Schizosaccharomyces pombe: one gene and its partners. The protein of the gene in region 1 interacts with the protein of each later gene in a biochemical or structural test. Each region holds a gene or a part of one and is shown in the gene's direction. Other genes may lie near its edges.

The links.
Region 2: the proteins of hht1 (region 1) and chp2 interact in a test that uses a peptide from one of them, tested with the Schizosaccharomyces pombe proteins (4 studies listed by BioGRID, with this or other methods).
Region 3: the proteins of hht1 (region 1) and swi6 interact in a test that uses a peptide from one of them, tested with the Schizosaccharomyces pombe proteins (6 studies listed by BioGRID, with this or other methods).
Region 4: the proteins of hht1 (region 1) and spt16 form a complex in vitro, tested with the Schizosaccharomyces pombe proteins (one study listed by BioGRID).

The regions. Positions count from the first base shown.
Region 1 is NC_003424.3:4,698,097-4,701,106, forward strand, and holds hht1 (histone H3 h3.1), read left to right. Parts: upstream 1-1,635; 5' UTR 1,636-1,732; coding exon 1,733-2,143; 3' UTR 2,144-2,464; downstream 2,465-3,010. Other genes in the region: multifunctional aromatic polypeptide Aro1, read left to right, coding at 1-396; hhf1 (histone H4 h4.1), read right to left, coding at 989-1,300. UniProt on the Schizosaccharomyces pombe protein: Core component of nucleosome. Nucleosomes wrap and compact DNA into chromatin, limiting DNA accessibility to the cellular machineries which require DNA as a template.
Region 2 is NC_003423.3:4,348,056-4,351,801, forward strand, and holds chp2 (heterochromatin (HP1) family chromodomain protein Chp2), read left to right. Parts: upstream 1-1,939; coding exon 1,940-2,503; exon of another isoform or gene 2,504-2,540; coding exon 2,541-3,119; 3' UTR 3,120-3,189; downstream 3,190-3,746. Other genes in the region: ER membrane O-mannosyltransferase Ogm4, read left to right, coding at 1-933. UniProt on the Schizosaccharomyces pombe protein: Component of the kinetochore which plays a role in stabilizing microtubules and so allowing accurate chromosome segregation.
Region 3 is NC_003424.3:1,701,841-1,705,900, reverse strand, and holds swi6 (heterochromatin (HP1) family chromodomain protein Swi6), read left to right. Parts: upstream 1-1,802; 5' UTR 1,803-1,899; coding exon 1,900-2,886; 3' UTR 2,887-3,495; downstream 3,496-4,060. Other genes in the region: Ino80 complex actin-like protein Arp8, read left to right, coding at 1-920.
Region 4 is NC_003423.3:3,669,314-3,675,187, forward strand, and holds spt16 (histone H2A-H2B chaperone, FACT complex subunit Spt16), read left to right. Parts: upstream 1-1,966; 5' UTR 1,967-2,145; coding exon 2,146-5,205; 3' UTR 5,206-5,309; downstream 5,310-5,874. Other genes in the region: phosphomethylpyrimidine kinase Thi201, read right to left, coding at 1-405; RNA methyltransferase Nop2, read right to left, coding at 5,438-5,874.

The DNA.
Region 1 (3,010 bases):
TTGTTGAACCGCACTTTAGCCAACTCTTATCGTGTTCAAGACGTTTTCCCTCCTGATTATAACATCCATATAATAGATTCTGACAATATTCCTTCTGAAGAATTATCTAGTGTTACCCTTTCCGCGGTCGTCTCGACAATTCCTGCAGATATTGAGCTTCCTGAAAAAGTTGCATCTGTTATTAAAGCTTTGCTTGCTAACAAAGCCGATGGTGGAGTATTCCTTGACATGGCTTACAAGCCCTTGCATACACCTCTAATGGCTGTTGCATCTGACTTGGAATGGAAATGTTGCAACGGATTGGAAGCTTTAGTTCGTCAAGGTCTTGCGTCTTTTCATTTGTGGACTGGAATGACAGCACCATTTGATGCTGTTTATCAAAAGGTTATTGAGTAAGTCAACAATTCAAATTTTCGATTTAGTTAGGTATTTTGAAATCTATTTTGATACAAATGTAGAATAAAAATACAGGAAGTAATTTTTTTTAGCACTTCAGCTAGTAGAATCAGGAAGCCAATTGACGCTTGGTATGTCAATGATCAGTAAGCAGTCGCAAAATGTATGAACGCTGTAAATTTACAACAACAAAAATAATCTTGTAGAAGTGGAAACATTACTGTACCATTTTGCATACCAACTTGTATCTACTTTCGACTACAAAATGAAGTATTTTGCGAAACGTGATAATTAAGTTTATTAAAGTGTGACATTCAAAGACATTGTTTGCAAAAAATAATATCACCTACAAAAGAAACTAGTCATAAAAACATATGCAGAACAAATCCAATTAAAAACAGAACTTATAAGACTGCTGAAAAAGGGAAAGTCGCAGAAAGAGGTAATAATCCACAAAAATTATATTGATAGATAATTCAAATTTCACGAACAATTGCACAACATTTATAGCAGACAGGGGTAAAAAAGGAATTAAGTGGTAAATAATAAAGTGATATACAAACAAGGAGAAAAAAATCAATGTAATAGGAGTTTAACCACCGAAACCATAAATGGTACGGCCTTGACGCTTCAAAGAATAGACAACGTCCAAAGAAGTGACAGTCTTACGCTTGGCATGCTCAGTATAGGTGACGGCATCGCGAATAACATTTTCTAAGAAGAGCTTGAGAACAGCACGAGTCTCTTCATAAACCAAAGCGGAAATACGCTTCACACCACCACGACGAGCAAGACGACGGATAGCAGGCTTAGTAATACCTTGAATGTTGTCACGAAGAATTTTACGGTGACGCTTAGCACCACCTTTTCCCAAACCTTTACCACCTTTACCACGACCAGACATGTTAAGAAGTAGAAAAAATTAAAATCTACGCAAAAAAACGCGTAATTCTTTAAGTATAATAAAGATAAAGGGGTTTTCCGTTGACTAACAAAGGAACAATGAATTTATAGATGTCAACAGATGTTAACGGTAGGATAAAAGTCAATGCAAATTGACAAAGGATTTTATCCGTATTCAAAAACAATTAAAAGAAATGATTGTCTGAAGAGAGGGAAGTTGGGGCGACGCTGTCTATTTGTTTTGAATCTGCATCAAAACCCTAACCCTGCTTTTGATGAGATCGGGTGGATTCAAAACATATATATAGCAAATATCTGCAGTACGCTTGCGTTTCCATTAATTCTAAAGATCAACAATTGGCAAAAGTAGCACAACAGCTATTTTTTTCTCGATTGTCTTTTTATTTGATATTCATTCTACTAGCTTGATATAATGGCTCGTACTAAACAAACAGCTCGTAAGTCTACCGGTGGTAAGGCACCCCGTAAGCAATTGGCCTCTAAGGCCGCTCGTAAGGCCGCTCCCGCTACCGGAGGTGTTAAGAAGCCTCATCGTTATCGTCCTGGTACTGTCGCTCTTCGTGAGATTCGTCGTTATCAAAAGTCTACTGAACTTTTAATTCGTAAGCTACCTTTCCAACGTTTGGTCCGTGAAATCGCCCAAGATTTCAAGACTGACTTGCGTTTCCAATCTTCTGCCATTGGTGCTCTCCAAGAAGCTGTTGAGGCCTACCTTGTCTCTCTATTTGAGGACACTAACTTGTGTGCTATTCACGGAAAACGTGTTACGATTCAACCCAAGGATATGCAGTTGGCTCGTCGTCTCCGTGGCGAACGCTCATAATTTTCTCCAGGACTTTTGGCAATTGTAATTGAGACTAAATTAATTTTGATTGACTGCTTGCCTGTATTATACTGTCACCCTTTGATATGTTGCTACCAATAAGTGAAAAGCAGGCTTCGTGAATAATTGTTGTTTTTGTTCTACATTACCAAGAGCTAGATGAACGTTCACTTTGATGGGAACGGATATGTGTTAATTTGGTTGTTTGAATTTATCTTCAATTATAGAAACTTGTCGTTAATTCATGCGAATGAATTCAGCCTTGAGAGTGACAAGTTTAGATAACACATTATGTACATTAATGAAAACTAATGACAACAAGTACCTTTATTTGAAACATGATTTCTTTTATTTCAAGTATCTGTTAAATTTATGTCTTTTGTTTTATAAAAGAATACAGAACTACGAAGACAATGCTTTTTTTAAAAATCTTTACACTTTTGGTATTGAGATTTGGTTGTTATCGCAGCATTCTTTATCGTTTAATGGCGGTTCGCATAAAGAATTGCACATATTTATATGAACAAACTGTTTTCAGGTATTTACGAACTGTTTAATAGCTTAATAGCTTTGATATATCGCGGAAAGATATTTTGCAAAGACAAATCGAGCATGTAATGAACTTATCGGCCGAAAAAAAATAGACAATTCGTGAAAAATAATCAGTCATTCTTTCCTGCTTGTTATGTAACCTCTCTTTAGAACCTGGAATTGCATTTATAAGAGAATTAACGGTCGTTTTAATTCTTATTTTTAAAAATTTAGAGCTTTCTTAAGCATAGTTGAACGAGTAAAAGTAGTCCTTTGTTAGCGACTTCATAATTAAGCCTTGAAATTTATTCGGATGATTATTCTTAACATAAAAAG
Region 2 (3,746 bases), on another chromosome or scaffold:
AATACTGATCCTCAGCGACCTTTATATACCAAAGCTTCTTCTTTCAAATTGATCCATAAACTCACTCATGTGGCTATGTGGTCTGATCCAAAGCCACTTCCAGATTGGGCATTTAAACAGCTAGAAATCAATGGTGCTAAAAACATTCAAACTGGGTCAATTTTCTGGACATTCGATGATATTATCGGACTTAAAGATAGCCGATTGAAGAAGGAAAAAAAAATTCCTAAAAAACTACCATTTTGGAAAAAATATTTGGAGCTACAACTCACAATGTTTAGACAAAATAATATGTTAACCGAGTTTCATCCATACAGTTCTAATCCTTCTGATTGGTTTACTTTGCACCACGGTATTGCGTTTTGGGCTAAAAGTGAGGAAAACAAGCAAATATATTTATTGGGAAATCCTATCGGTTGGTGGATCATTGCCGGTACTGTTTTGAGTACGACGGTGGTCGCTGCAGCTGAAATTTTGCTTCGCCAAAGAGGTATTCGTACTTTACCTGAAACTGTCCGTAACCACTTTTACCGTTCCACTATGTTTTTCTACATGACTTATGTCTTTCATTATCTTCCATTCTTTATCATGGGTCGTCAATTGTTTTTACACCATTATCTTCCTGCTCATTTGGCAGGTTCCTTGCTTGTAGGCGCATTTATACAGTTAGCCTGTCGCAAATCCTTCCGATCACCCGTGTCCGCAGGAGTTCCGATTCCTAAAGATGTCGATGAAAAAGGACATTCCAAATGTCATAGAAAATACGGTCATGTAATAGAGCTCATCTGTACATTACTACTCATTTTTGTCGTTATTTATTGTTTCACCTTTTTCGCTCCAATGACATACGGAGATAAAAGCCTTAGCGTTGATGAATGGACGAGACGTAAATGGCTTGATTCATGGGTGTTTCAATACCAAAAACAAAATTAGCCACTTTCATAATGATTCTTTTGAGCTCGAATTTTTTTAACAAAGCTGCAAAGCTGCTTTTGGTCTGCTAATATTTAATAAAAAAACAGTTATCGCTGGCTTGGACATTTGATCCAGCTCTAAATTGATTATACCCTATAATTTCAATATTCGTGGATCGGCAACCTATTCCGTTTAGCTTTTATATCTACTTATAAATTAAGCGATTATTAGATCGATAACTCTACGGAAGTCAGATCGTTATACACTTTACGTATCTAGGAAATTCATAGAATATCAAAAAAAAGTACTTGGTAGTAATTGGTTTTCACAATATTTGCTATTGCATGAAGCTTGATATCTATATTTTCTGTTGATTAACCAAGCATAGTAGATAGATCTTTAATTACAAGTTTTAAAGAAATGAAATAATACTTTCTTTTAAATATTGCTTACAAAAAAGATTTATAATATATTTACAATTTTTTAGTTTTCCAGAAAAACTATGAACACTTTTAATACATCCCTTACTTGCCTTAACAATAGGTAGATTTGTTTAAGACAAGCGTATTATGGGACCTTGAGCATCCTAACCCTTTACATGTATGTTATTTTTATGCACAGCACTTTATCTTCAAATTTTTTTGAACTTCGATTCTAAATTGGTTATTATTTTAATACTGTATTCATATTTAGTTGAACCAATACATTGCAGGACTTGCACTTAATACTACTTCTGGATTGTAAATCGCTTTGTGATAAACCTTACCTAAAATTTCCGTTGTCCTTTCACAATATATAAAAACTGTCAATTATATTCAAAATACTTTTTCTTGGCGGATCTTTTAAAACTGTATTTATAAAGGGAGGAGAAAATATCAATGAATCCGTCGAAATAAACATATAAGCAGCAATATTATTGCATAACCAGCATCAAATTAATTAGAGCAGAATATTTTTTATTAAATTTTTAATTGATATATGAAGGGTTAATAATTTATGTTGGTATATCTGGAAAGTCTTAATAATGGTCAAAAGTGCCGACCTTGACCTAATGAATAGTATAATCAGTGAAAGTGATGAAAATTTTAGTCCTCCACCATTCACTGTTGAAGAAGCCGAAAATTCAATTAACAATAAGTCTTCGACAGCGAGTTTGGAAAGTCCTCAAAATGGTTCATGGCATCCTTCGCTTTACGGTCTTAGTGTTCCCGAAAAAACCCATATTCAAAATTCTTTAGACTTATACAGTCATGGAAATTCAGGGTCTCAGAAGACTCACAATGTGTCGTTCAGTTGTGAAATAAGAAAAGTCAAAAGTTCCAAATTGTCTCCAATCTCTAACATGGAAGACTCTGAAGATAAAAAAGAAGAGGATGAATCTTCTAGTTACAAAAACGAATTTAAAAGTTCATCTTCTGCTTCTGTTTCTTCAAATTTCGAAAAGACTAGTGGTTCTGATGATCATAACTCTCAATCACCCGTTCCTCTGAATGAAGGGTTTGAGTATATTGCTAGTTCTGGTAGTGAAGATAAAAATTCAGATGAAGAATTCGCCGTGGAAATGATTCTAGATAGTAGGATGAAAAAGGTGCGCAACATTAATACTTGTCTTGCTAACCATGTAGGATGGATCAGGCTTCCAATATTATTTGAAATGGGAAGGGTACGATGACCCTTCCGATAATACATGGAATGATGAAGAAGATTGTGCGGGCTGTCTGGAATTAATAGACGCATACTGGGAATCTAGAGGAGGTAAACCAGATCTTTCGTCTTTAATACGATTGACGCGAAGCCGCGCACGATCTTCGAATGAAGCTTCCTATGTTGAGAAAGATGAGAGTTCAAACTCTGATGACTCTATATCTTATAAAAGAAGGAGAAGCAGGAATGCAGCAAATCGTATTACGGATTATGTCGACTCGGATTTATCTGAATCTTCTATGAAAGAAAAGCAAAGCAAAATTGAGAAATATATGAAATCTGATAAATCTTCAAAAAATTTTAAACCTCCTTTTCAGAAGAAAAGCTGGGAAGATTTGGTTGATTGTGTTAAAACGGTTCAACAACTTGATAATGGTAAACTAATTGCAAAAATAAAGTGGAAAAATGGTTACGTCTCAACTCACGATAACATAATAATTCACCAAAAATGTCCTCTTAAAATTATTGAATATTACGAGGCTCATATTAAATTTACATAATGTTGATCTTTGGACTTAATAATTAGAATTACGAGTGGGTTACTAAGATAGAACTATAAGATTCAGCTAAAATTTTTACAGTTTTTTTGTAAGCTTTTCTTAGAAATGTTGCACCCGATGCACATATTCCTCACAAAAAATGCAGAATGTAGACTGTGTTGTAAAACTCAAAAAATTGCAGTATTTTATTCTATTCAAGGTCAGCTATAAAGTTGCATAAAGTGCTGTATTGGTTTCATATTTTAATAAAGCATTAAAACCAAGGTCAAGATACCAGGTAAAAGATTTTGGTAGCTAAACAAAATATTCTTTGAAAGGAAAATTTGAGTTTGCGCCACTGCCATGCTTTTTGTTTATGTATAGCACATCAAATTCAGCTTGAAACTGTCAAATATCAACTCGTTCAACGCTTTTACAGTGCCTACAATCTCTAAAAAATTGTACATTTCTGAAACTCAAATTGTATAAATCAAAACTATGATTGCATTCAGATTCGTTTTTCACAAACCAAAGCAGAAGGTAATGCTGAAATACCAATATCAAATTAGCGTTTCCTAAGGAGATTTACAGCCAAAAGCCTTTTCCGAATACAATCGCAATATCTTTCTACTCGCTAAATTATTATAC
Region 3 (4,060 bases), 3.0 Mb from region 1:
CCAACTCAAGGATAAAAATAAACTATGGAGGAGATGACATTACGCTTTTATTCATGAAATTACTCATGAGAAGTCATTTCCCGTATCAGGATATTGACTTAAAAACTCCGTATGATTGGTCTTTAGCCAATGCTTTAAAAATAAAATATTGTGGCCTAAGTGAAGCAACCTATAATGTTCAATTGAATAGCTTCTTTTCGCGAACACCTGATAAAGGGACTAGAAAATTTACATTTAAAAGCCTTGACGAAACAATGCTTGCACCTCTTGGATTCTTTCGCCCTGACATTTTTGAAAATGAAAATAAACTTCATGATCGGTATACTTTGTTTCCAGTGCCGGTCGATGTATATGACAACCAACCGAATAATCCCGAATCACTTGCCCAAACCACTTTATTGCAAATATCTACGCCGATATCCAACATCAAAGCTAATGGAAAAGATGATGAAGAGAAAAAAGAAGAAAGTGATTTGGTGACACCTTCGGTAAAATTCAAGCCTCCACGGGTAGTATATTGTGGCTCACTTGCTGCTCCAGAAATAAAGAATGAGAAACTGATATATCCTTTGGATGATGCAATCAACCAGAGTATATTTAGTGCATGTGATGGAAATTTAAGTGATGAGAAGGCAAAAAATCTTTACTCAAGCATTTTGATCGTCGGTGGAGCTGGTCAGTTCCCGGGCTTTGCTCATTTACTGGAAGAGCGTATCCATTCCAAGCGTGCCAACATCCCTACTATTTCGGTAATTCCTCCACCAAGAAGTATGGATGCTCAATTTGTTGCCTGGAAGGGTGCTTGTATATACAATCGCATTCGGATCGTATCGGAGCTGTGGATAAAAAACAGCGATTGGAAAATGTTAGGTAGCCGTGTCTTGCAATACAAGACATTGGGTTATTTTTGGACTGGCTAAACCATATGTTTATGCTTTCATATTCGTTACTAATTTTTTAATGCAACACCATATGTTTTTGCTATTTTTCATTATTTTTAGATGTTAATAAACCATGGTCTACAAAAACAGTACAGATGCCTCTAAGTTCATGTTTTTTGAAATTTTGAAGATACTTCATCAACTACTCATTCTTTTTGATATTTGAGTGCTCAAATAAGTTGAATTTATCATAATTTCCCTAAGTACGTATTTCTTTAAACGTACCATTTTGTATTTAAGTAATCTTTACATTCCAAAAATTGTAGTATCATTGTAAAAAAATTGAAAAAATAAACTCCCAAGGCGAGACTCGAACTCGCAACCTTCTGATTACCATCATAAGAGTCAGACGCTCTAAACCGATTGAGCCACTCGGGACTTCGTTGACGACTTAAGTTATTCAGTGTAATATGTAGTGCAAAAAGAATCCTCATAAGAATATATATTTTGTTGTTTGACGATGATTGCCTACGAAATTTAAAAGGTGGAATTGTTTTCTAGTTAAGATTGTTTATCAATCTTGAGAGACTCAGCATTGCTTTAGAAAACAAATCAGCATGCCAACCGTAACAGCCAAATATCTTGTTACTCGCAGCATTACTTAAAATGTTAATTTTATTTCTAACGGTAATATTTGTTCAATATTTTCGTATTTCGCATTAAGTAAATCACTAGGAAATTGAGATGCTTTTGAAATAATGATTATTACTGATAGTGATCTAAGCAAAATTAGGCGTCGTTAATCAACTTTTAGACAACGATTAATACAGTACTTCTATGCAATATTTTAATAAACGAACTCTATGTGATGCTAGCCATTCTGTACACCATGAAAAGCAAGCCAAACATGTCTCGCTAAACGAGCAAACAACCTGTAAAGACCAACGCGAAATTGATGTTTAGTACTTTTTAAAATATTCTGAAATCTCGTTTATTTTCATATTAAGACAAGTGAAAAATGAAGAAAGGAGGTGTTCGATCTTATCGGCGCTCCTCTACTTCAAAACGATCAGTTATTGACGACGATTCGGAACCAGAGTTACCAAGCATGACAAAGGAGGCTATTGCTTCTCATAAAGCAGACTCTGGGTCGTCGGACAATGAAGTTGAAAGCGATCATGAAAGTAAATCTTCGTCGAAGAAATTGAAAGAAAATGCCAAAGAAGAAGAAGGAGGAGAAGAAGAAGAAGAGGATGAATATGTTGTAGAAAAGGTTTTAAAACACCGTATGGCGAGAAAAGGTGGAGGCTATGAATACCTTTTGAAATGGGAAGGTTATGACGATCCCAGTGATAATACATGGAGTTCAGAAGCCGATTGTAGCGGTTGCAAACAGTTGATAGAAGCATATTGGAATGAACATGGAGGAAGACCAGAACCTTCTAAAAGAAAGAGGACTGCAAGACCTAAAAAGCCCGAAGCAAAGGAGCCTTCACCAAAGTCTCGTAAAACTGATGAAGATAAACACGACAAAGATTCCAATGAAAAGATTGAAGATGTGAATGAGAAAACTATTAAATTCGCCGATAAATCGCAAGAGGAATTTAATGAGAACGGCCCACCTTCTGGTCAGCCGAATGGTCACATTGAATCTGACAATGAGTCTAAATCTCCTTCACAAAAAGAATCGAATGAAAGTGAGGATATTCAAATAGCAGAGACCCCTAGCAATGTTACTCCGAAAAAGAAGCCTAGTCCGGAAGTTCCCAAACTTCCGGACAACAGAGAGCTGACGGTTAAACAAGTAGAAAACTATGATTCTTGGGAAGACTTGGTATCTAGCATCGATACAATTGAACGAAAAGATGATGGAACCTTGGAAATTTATCTGACTTGGAAGAACGGTGCAATATCTCATCATCCTAGTACTATCACCAATAAAAAATGTCCTCAGAAGATGCTTCAATTTTATGAAAGCCACTTAACGTTCCGTGAAAATGAATAATTTTTTTGTGTTCCTTTAAAAAATTCTTTTTCTTTTGTTTATAAATTAGATTTCGCTTTTTTCTGACGTTATTGCTTTTATCAAGTCCCGTGTCGTAGTATGAGTTCTTGTTCTCTTACTCGAAAAATGCATCTAACATTATACTTATACAAATTTTTGTTAGGCGCTTAACATCACATTCTAGTTTATGAACGCCTTTGTTTTCTTTCACATTGAATTGATTACGAGTGACTTGAGAAATGTAAAATACCTTTTGTCGTTATGGTTTGACATTCTAAATAACCTAAGGTTTGACATTCTAGATAACCTAATTTCTTTAATTTTACCATTTATTAATTTAGCATGCACTGCTCTTCATGCATTCAAAATCGTGTCTAATAATAACGTAATTTTACTCGTTAAATAAAGAATTTATGCATGCAAAATCGTTACTCATAAACCTCAGCAGATAAATTTGTTAACAAAAATGAGGGTGCATGAATATCTGCCTTCTCCGTTTCTTCTGTTCCATATGCTTCTAAGTTTGGGTTACCAACTGAACTCAAAGATAGGGTCAAGATGTAGTGTATCAAGTTTGAATCTTTATCAAGTACTATGTTGCCTCTTGAGAAATTCGTTTGAGAATAGCTGTATAGCTAAAGATAAATAAGGGTTTGAATGTAATTGTTGCTATGTAAACACAGTTGTAATTATAGATTTTTAATTGTTGCTGCTTTTGTACATTAGCAAAAAAAAATACAAGCAAGTTATGATGAAGAAGTCTGGTTATGCTATTTTTCTAAGAAGCTGGGATAAATTCATATTTTGTTCCTCTTTTTTTTTTTTTTTAAATATGTTTATGTCAGATTGGCAGATTTACCATATAAACACATAATGGCAAATTATGGCAAACTTTGCAAATGAACATGTATTTATCGAATTTCCTTGTTATCTTTTTTTATTGCTAGCAACACATGAAGACATCAGTCCCCTCTCGGCAATACATATTATCGATTGACACTACTGTATGCTGAGACTGAACAACAGAGTTCTCACTTGGACTTTTTGCTTGCTCCTCAAAGACTTTTAAAAAATTAAATAATAACTATTATATTTCTAACTGTTTTTAATCTAATTATTAGTCACAAGTTGCGCTTTTGTTATATATATGACTTCTATTCAAATTGTGTATACC
Region 4 (5,874 bases), on another chromosome or scaffold:
CACCAGCTTCGAAAAGTTGAATTTCTTGGCAGAACGTGCAACTGCCTTAACGATTTCAGGGCTGCCAAGCATACCTGTTTTCACGACATGACAAGGTATGTCTCGAATGCAACAATCGATTTGAGATTCTACGAAGGCAGGAGACATTTCCTCAACAGAGTCTACTCCACCAGCGTTCTCAGCAACTAAACAAGTAATAGCACTCATACCATATACACCTAAACTGGTCATGGTCTTCAAATCAGCTTGAATTCCGGCACCACCACTGCAATCAGAACCGGCAATGGTTAGACTAACTGGAAGAGCCCGACGCTTGATGGTATAGCCCATTGGATCCAATACTGTTTCTATCCGCGAAGGATCAAACTGATTGGAAAGCGATTCATAAAGAGGGTTATACGGCATGATAGATATTGACTGGAAATTTTGTAAAATAAATGGTCCTAAATATAGTTATAAAGCAGAATTTATGTGTTAAATTTTCCTCAGCAAATAGCGAATTTGGTATGCAAAGGATTCTCAGAAAGAAAAGGGATTGAGAACAAATATACCGCAAAAAAGACGATATTAACTCAAGTAGACCCAATTTGAGGTTTTGTGATACAAAAAACGTTTTATTTGTTTTGTAAACATACTCTTTATATATGCATGAGTGTTCGTGTGTATGTAAGCGCCGTTTTTTCACGGACTCATATAACCGAACCCCATTTTTCGTAGTAGTAGTTCGTTTTTCTGCCTACATAAAATGGATGAGATCCATGATATAAGGATCTGGATATTCGTTTTTTTGTTTTCTTCATGAAATGTGGCATTACCTGGATCAGCACTAGAAATTGATTTTAATAGCAGCGCATATTTTGCATTTACTATATATTATTACTATATCCAGTATTTCGTGGTAAGTTTCATAAAAAATATTGAACAAATTCTAATAAATTGTAAATTCGTTTTTTGAATTTTAAGCCATACCCTATATCACCAATAAGGCTTACAACAAAGTTATATTTAAGATATTTGTATATTTTGTTACTCCGTGTTGACCCAAGAACTTATATTTTTATTGACTTCACTGGTTGGAAAGACAAAAATATCATGATAACCAGATATGAAACGTATTTCTTGCTATTATTTGTTCCGAAGCTTAAGATATCGCTCCTTATGGATTATTTAAATTAACAATAAAGTTGCTGATCCATTTAGCCATGTATAATTAAAACTACCACCAGTAACGGTTGAAGATTTAGTAAACTAAATTTTGTCTTTAAGCCAAAAACACTTCAATACGATGTTCGTCAGCTATACAAAACATTTTAAAAATTTCATGGGGATAATACCGTATATACTTTTAAGATAAAATTGGTATTTAACTGGTTAGTCGCGTAAAAGGGTTACAAACCACTTAATATACCTTATTTTTAATGGTGCATTTCAAAATTAGTTTCATCTAAAGCAAAGGTATACCGGGTAAAAATGATCTTTATAAATGGCTTACTAGTTTTGCGTTGTAGTTTTATAATTTGTTCTACTCAGTTCATTTTACCAAGCAAATCAATTTAATCCGTTTAAAGCTGAGTGCTCCAGAATTTGTGCCACTTTTCAATAACTAAAGCATTAAGTAATATCTATTGTCTTTGGATTGCTTGACGTAGGTAAATGATTTTTTAAATTACTACAGCTCATATATGTACGTAGACGTATTCAGACATGTATGTATAGTATTCGTGCTCCAAAAATTATAAAGCTTGTCCAACCGTTTACGATTATATACAGCAAAGCGTGATATTCATCCTGCTCTTGAAGAACCAAAAAATAAATAAATAAATTTTATTTTTTTATGATGCTTGTGGTCTATTATAAACATTAACAAGCTCAAATAATCAAGCTAGAACACATGCAGCGTAAGTCGAGTCGCGTCGCAGAAATCCCAGCCCTATATATCTACATTCAAAAGTACTACCACTTACCCACCTCCATCCACAAGATATCAAAAAAAGCTATCAATCAATAAAAAAAAAATAAAACAATTCCTGTTTCTTTTTTACAAAATTTTAAGAAATTTTGTAAGAAAAAGCCTTTTTGCCCTTTCAGATAAAATAACTATTCGCTAAAGAGTGAATATATCTTAAATCGTTAATTAAAGGTAAAATGGCTGAATATGAAATAGACGAAATTACATTTCATAAACGCTTGGGCATACTTCTTACCTCCTGGAAGAATGAGGAAGACGGAAAGACGCTGTTTCAAGACTGCGACAGTATTTTAGTAACAGTAGGGGCTCATGATGATACGAATCCATATCAAAAGTCCACTGCACTACATACATGGCTCTTGGGTTATGAATTTCCATCGACTTTAATACTTCTTGAAAAGCATCGAATCACAATCCTTACATCAGTTAACAAGGCCAATATGTTAACGAAATTGGCTGAAACCAAGGGGGCTGCAGCTGACGTTAACATCTTGAAGAGAACGAAAGATGCTGAGGAAAATAAAAAGCTTTTTGAAAAAATAATAGAGTATATTAGAGCCACCAATAAAAAGGTCGGAGTATTTCCTAAGGATAAAACACAAGGAAAATTCATTAATGAATGGGACTCAATTTTTGAACCAGTGAAATCAGAATTTAATCTTGTGGATGCATCGCTTGGCTTAGCAAAGTGTCTTGCTATAAAGGACGAACAAGAACTTGCTAATATAAAAGGAGCATCGCGGGTTAGTGTTGCGGTTATGAGTAAATATTTTGTTGATGAACTTTCGACTTATATTGACCAAGGAAAAAAAATAACTCACTCTAAGTTTTCGGATCAGATGGAAAGCCTTATTGATAACGAGGCTTTTTTTCAAACAAAATCTTTGAAACTAGGAGACATAGACTTGGATCAACTAGAGTGGTGTTATACTCCCATTATTCAATCGGGGGGTAGTTATGATTTGAAGCCTTCTGCTATAACAGATGATAGAAATCTTCATGGGGACGTCGTCCTATGCTCTTTAGGGTTTCGCTACAAATCGTATTGTTCTAATGTTGGTCGCACTTATTTATTTGATCCTGATTCCGAACAACAGAAAAATTACTCTTTTTTAGTAGCGCTTCAGAAAAAGTTGTTCGAATACTGCAGAGATGGCGCTGTTATTGGGGACATATATACGAAAATTTTGGGTCTTATACGTGCTAAACGTCCTGATCTCGAACCTAATTTTGTAAGAAATCTAGGTGCCGGCATTGGCATTGAATTTCGCGAATCTTCACTTTTAGTAAATGCCAAAAACCCACGCGTTCTTCAAGCCGGGATGACTCTAAATCTTAGCATTGGATTTGGGAATTTGATTAATCCTCATCCTAAAAATTCTCAGTCTAAAGAGTATGCTCTTTTATTGATTGACACAATTCAAATAACAAGAAGTGATCCAATCGTATTTACTGATTCTCCAAAAGCTCAAGGTGATATATCCTACTTCTTTGGTGAAGATGATTCTTCTCTTGAAGACGGCGTAAAGCCACGCAAACCACCTACTCGGGGAACGGCAACTATATCAAGTCATAAAGGAAAGACTCGAAGTGAAACCAGAGACTTGGATGATTCTGCTGAAAAGAGGCGTGTTGAGCATCAAAAGCAACTAGCATCGCGAAAACAGGCTGAGGGATTGCAACGATTTGCTCAAGGTTCTGTTCCGTCTAGCGGCATCGAAAAACCCACTGTCAAACGATTTGAGTCGTACAAGCGTGACTCGCAACTTCCACAAGCAATTGGTGAGTTACGTATTCTAGTAGATTATCGAGCTCAAAGTATTATTTTACCCATTTTCGGTCGGCCTGTCCCGTTCCATATATCTACTTTAAAAAATGCTAGTAAAAACGATGAGGGAAATTTTGTGTATTTACGACTAAATTTCGTAAGTCCTGGCCAGATTGGCGGTAAAAAGGATGAGTTACCGTTTGAGGACCCTAATGCCCAATTCATACGAAGCTTTACTTTCAGAAGTTCAAATAATTCTAGAATGTCGCAAGTATTCAAGGACATCCAAGATATGAAGAAAGCAGCTACCAAGCGTGAAACTGAACGTAAGGAGTTTGCTGATGTTATTGAGCAAGATAAATTAATTGAAATAAAGAACAAGAGACCTGCTCATATAAATGATGTTTACGTTCGCCCTGCTATTGACGGGAAACGGTTGCCTGGATTCATTGAGATACACCAAAATGGTATTCGGTATCAATCGCCATTACGTTCAGATAGCCACATTGATCTTTTGTTTTCTAATATGAAGCATCTCTTTTTCCAGCCATGTGAAGGCGAGCTTATCGTTCTTATTCATGTTCATCTGAAAGCTCCGATCATGGTGGGAAAAAGGAAGACCCAGGACGTGCAATTTTATCGCGAAGTTTCTGATATTCAGTTTGACGAAACTGGAAACAAGAAGCGGAAATACATGTATGGTGATGAAGATGAATTGGAGCAAGAACAAGAAGAAAGACGGCGTCGTGCTCAATTAGATCGCGAATTTAAATCATTTGCTGAAAAAATCGCTGAAGCAAGTGAGGGACGAATTGAATTAGACATTCCATTTCGCGAACTTGCATTCAATGGTGTTCCCTTCCGTTCCAATGTTTTATTGCAGCCGACTACTGATTGCCTAGTTCAATTGACAGACACACCATTTACTGTAATTACACTAAACGAAATTGAAATTGCACACTTGGAGCGTGTACAATTTGGTTTAAAAAATTTTGATTTGGTTTTCATCTTTCAAGACTTCCGCCGCCCTCCGATTCATATCAATACAATTCCAATGGAGCAATTAGATAATGTAAAGGAATGGCTCGATTCATGCGATATATGCTTCTATGAAGGTCCTCTTAATTTGAACTGGACCACGATTATGAAAACTGTCAACGAGGACCCCATTGCATTCTTTGAAGAAGGAGGATGGGGATTTTTGGGAGCTCCGAGTGATGATGAAGGAGATGATAGTGTCGAAGAGGTTTCTGAGTATGAAGCTTCTGATGCCGACCCTTCTGATGAAGAGGAAGAAGAATCTGAGGAGTACAGCGAAGATGCTAGTGAAGAGGATGGTTACAGTGAAAGCGAAGTGGAGGATGAAGAAAGTGGTGAAGATTGGGATGAATTGGAGCGTAAAGCACGTCAAGAAGATGCTAAGCACGATGCTTTTGAAGAAAGACCATCTAAAAAGAGACACCGGTAAACTCACAAATTTACTTCACTTTCTTATTATTTATATGTAGTTTATTCTAAAAATTCCAGAATACTTTATAATAAAATATTCCACTGAATTGAGATTTGACAACCAGATGGATTGATACAAAAATATAAAGACCGGCTCTTTACGACAACCTATTAATATAATTGTTGTAGTAACACGCGAATCAATGTTCAGTTACCTTTTATTGTGTAATCCCAACCTAACCAAAATTATTCTAATCCTTTTTTTTTGCAACCTTATAACCTTTAGACTTCAACCATTTGCGACGATTCTGCTCGATAATCTCCTTATCGGCTTCATCATTGAAAGTAATATTATCAATTTCAGTAGAATTCTTTTCAATTTCAACATCATTATTTGTTCCATCCTTCATATCATCAGCCACATTTACAGTAGGGATTTTATCAGAAATCTTTTTCAGTTTGGCAACGAAAAAACCGTCTATATTGTGAACATGAGGATAATAACGTCTAGTTAACTTTAGACTTGGATGAAATCTTTTTTCACGAAAACGGGTAAACCCTTCACGTCCAAATTCAAGTCCAGTGGACACTAGCTTAACATTAGGGCGCTTCTTTAAAGCATATTGAATAACTGCTTCATCTTCGTCAACAGTAATACTGCAAGTAGAATACACGATAAAACCACCGG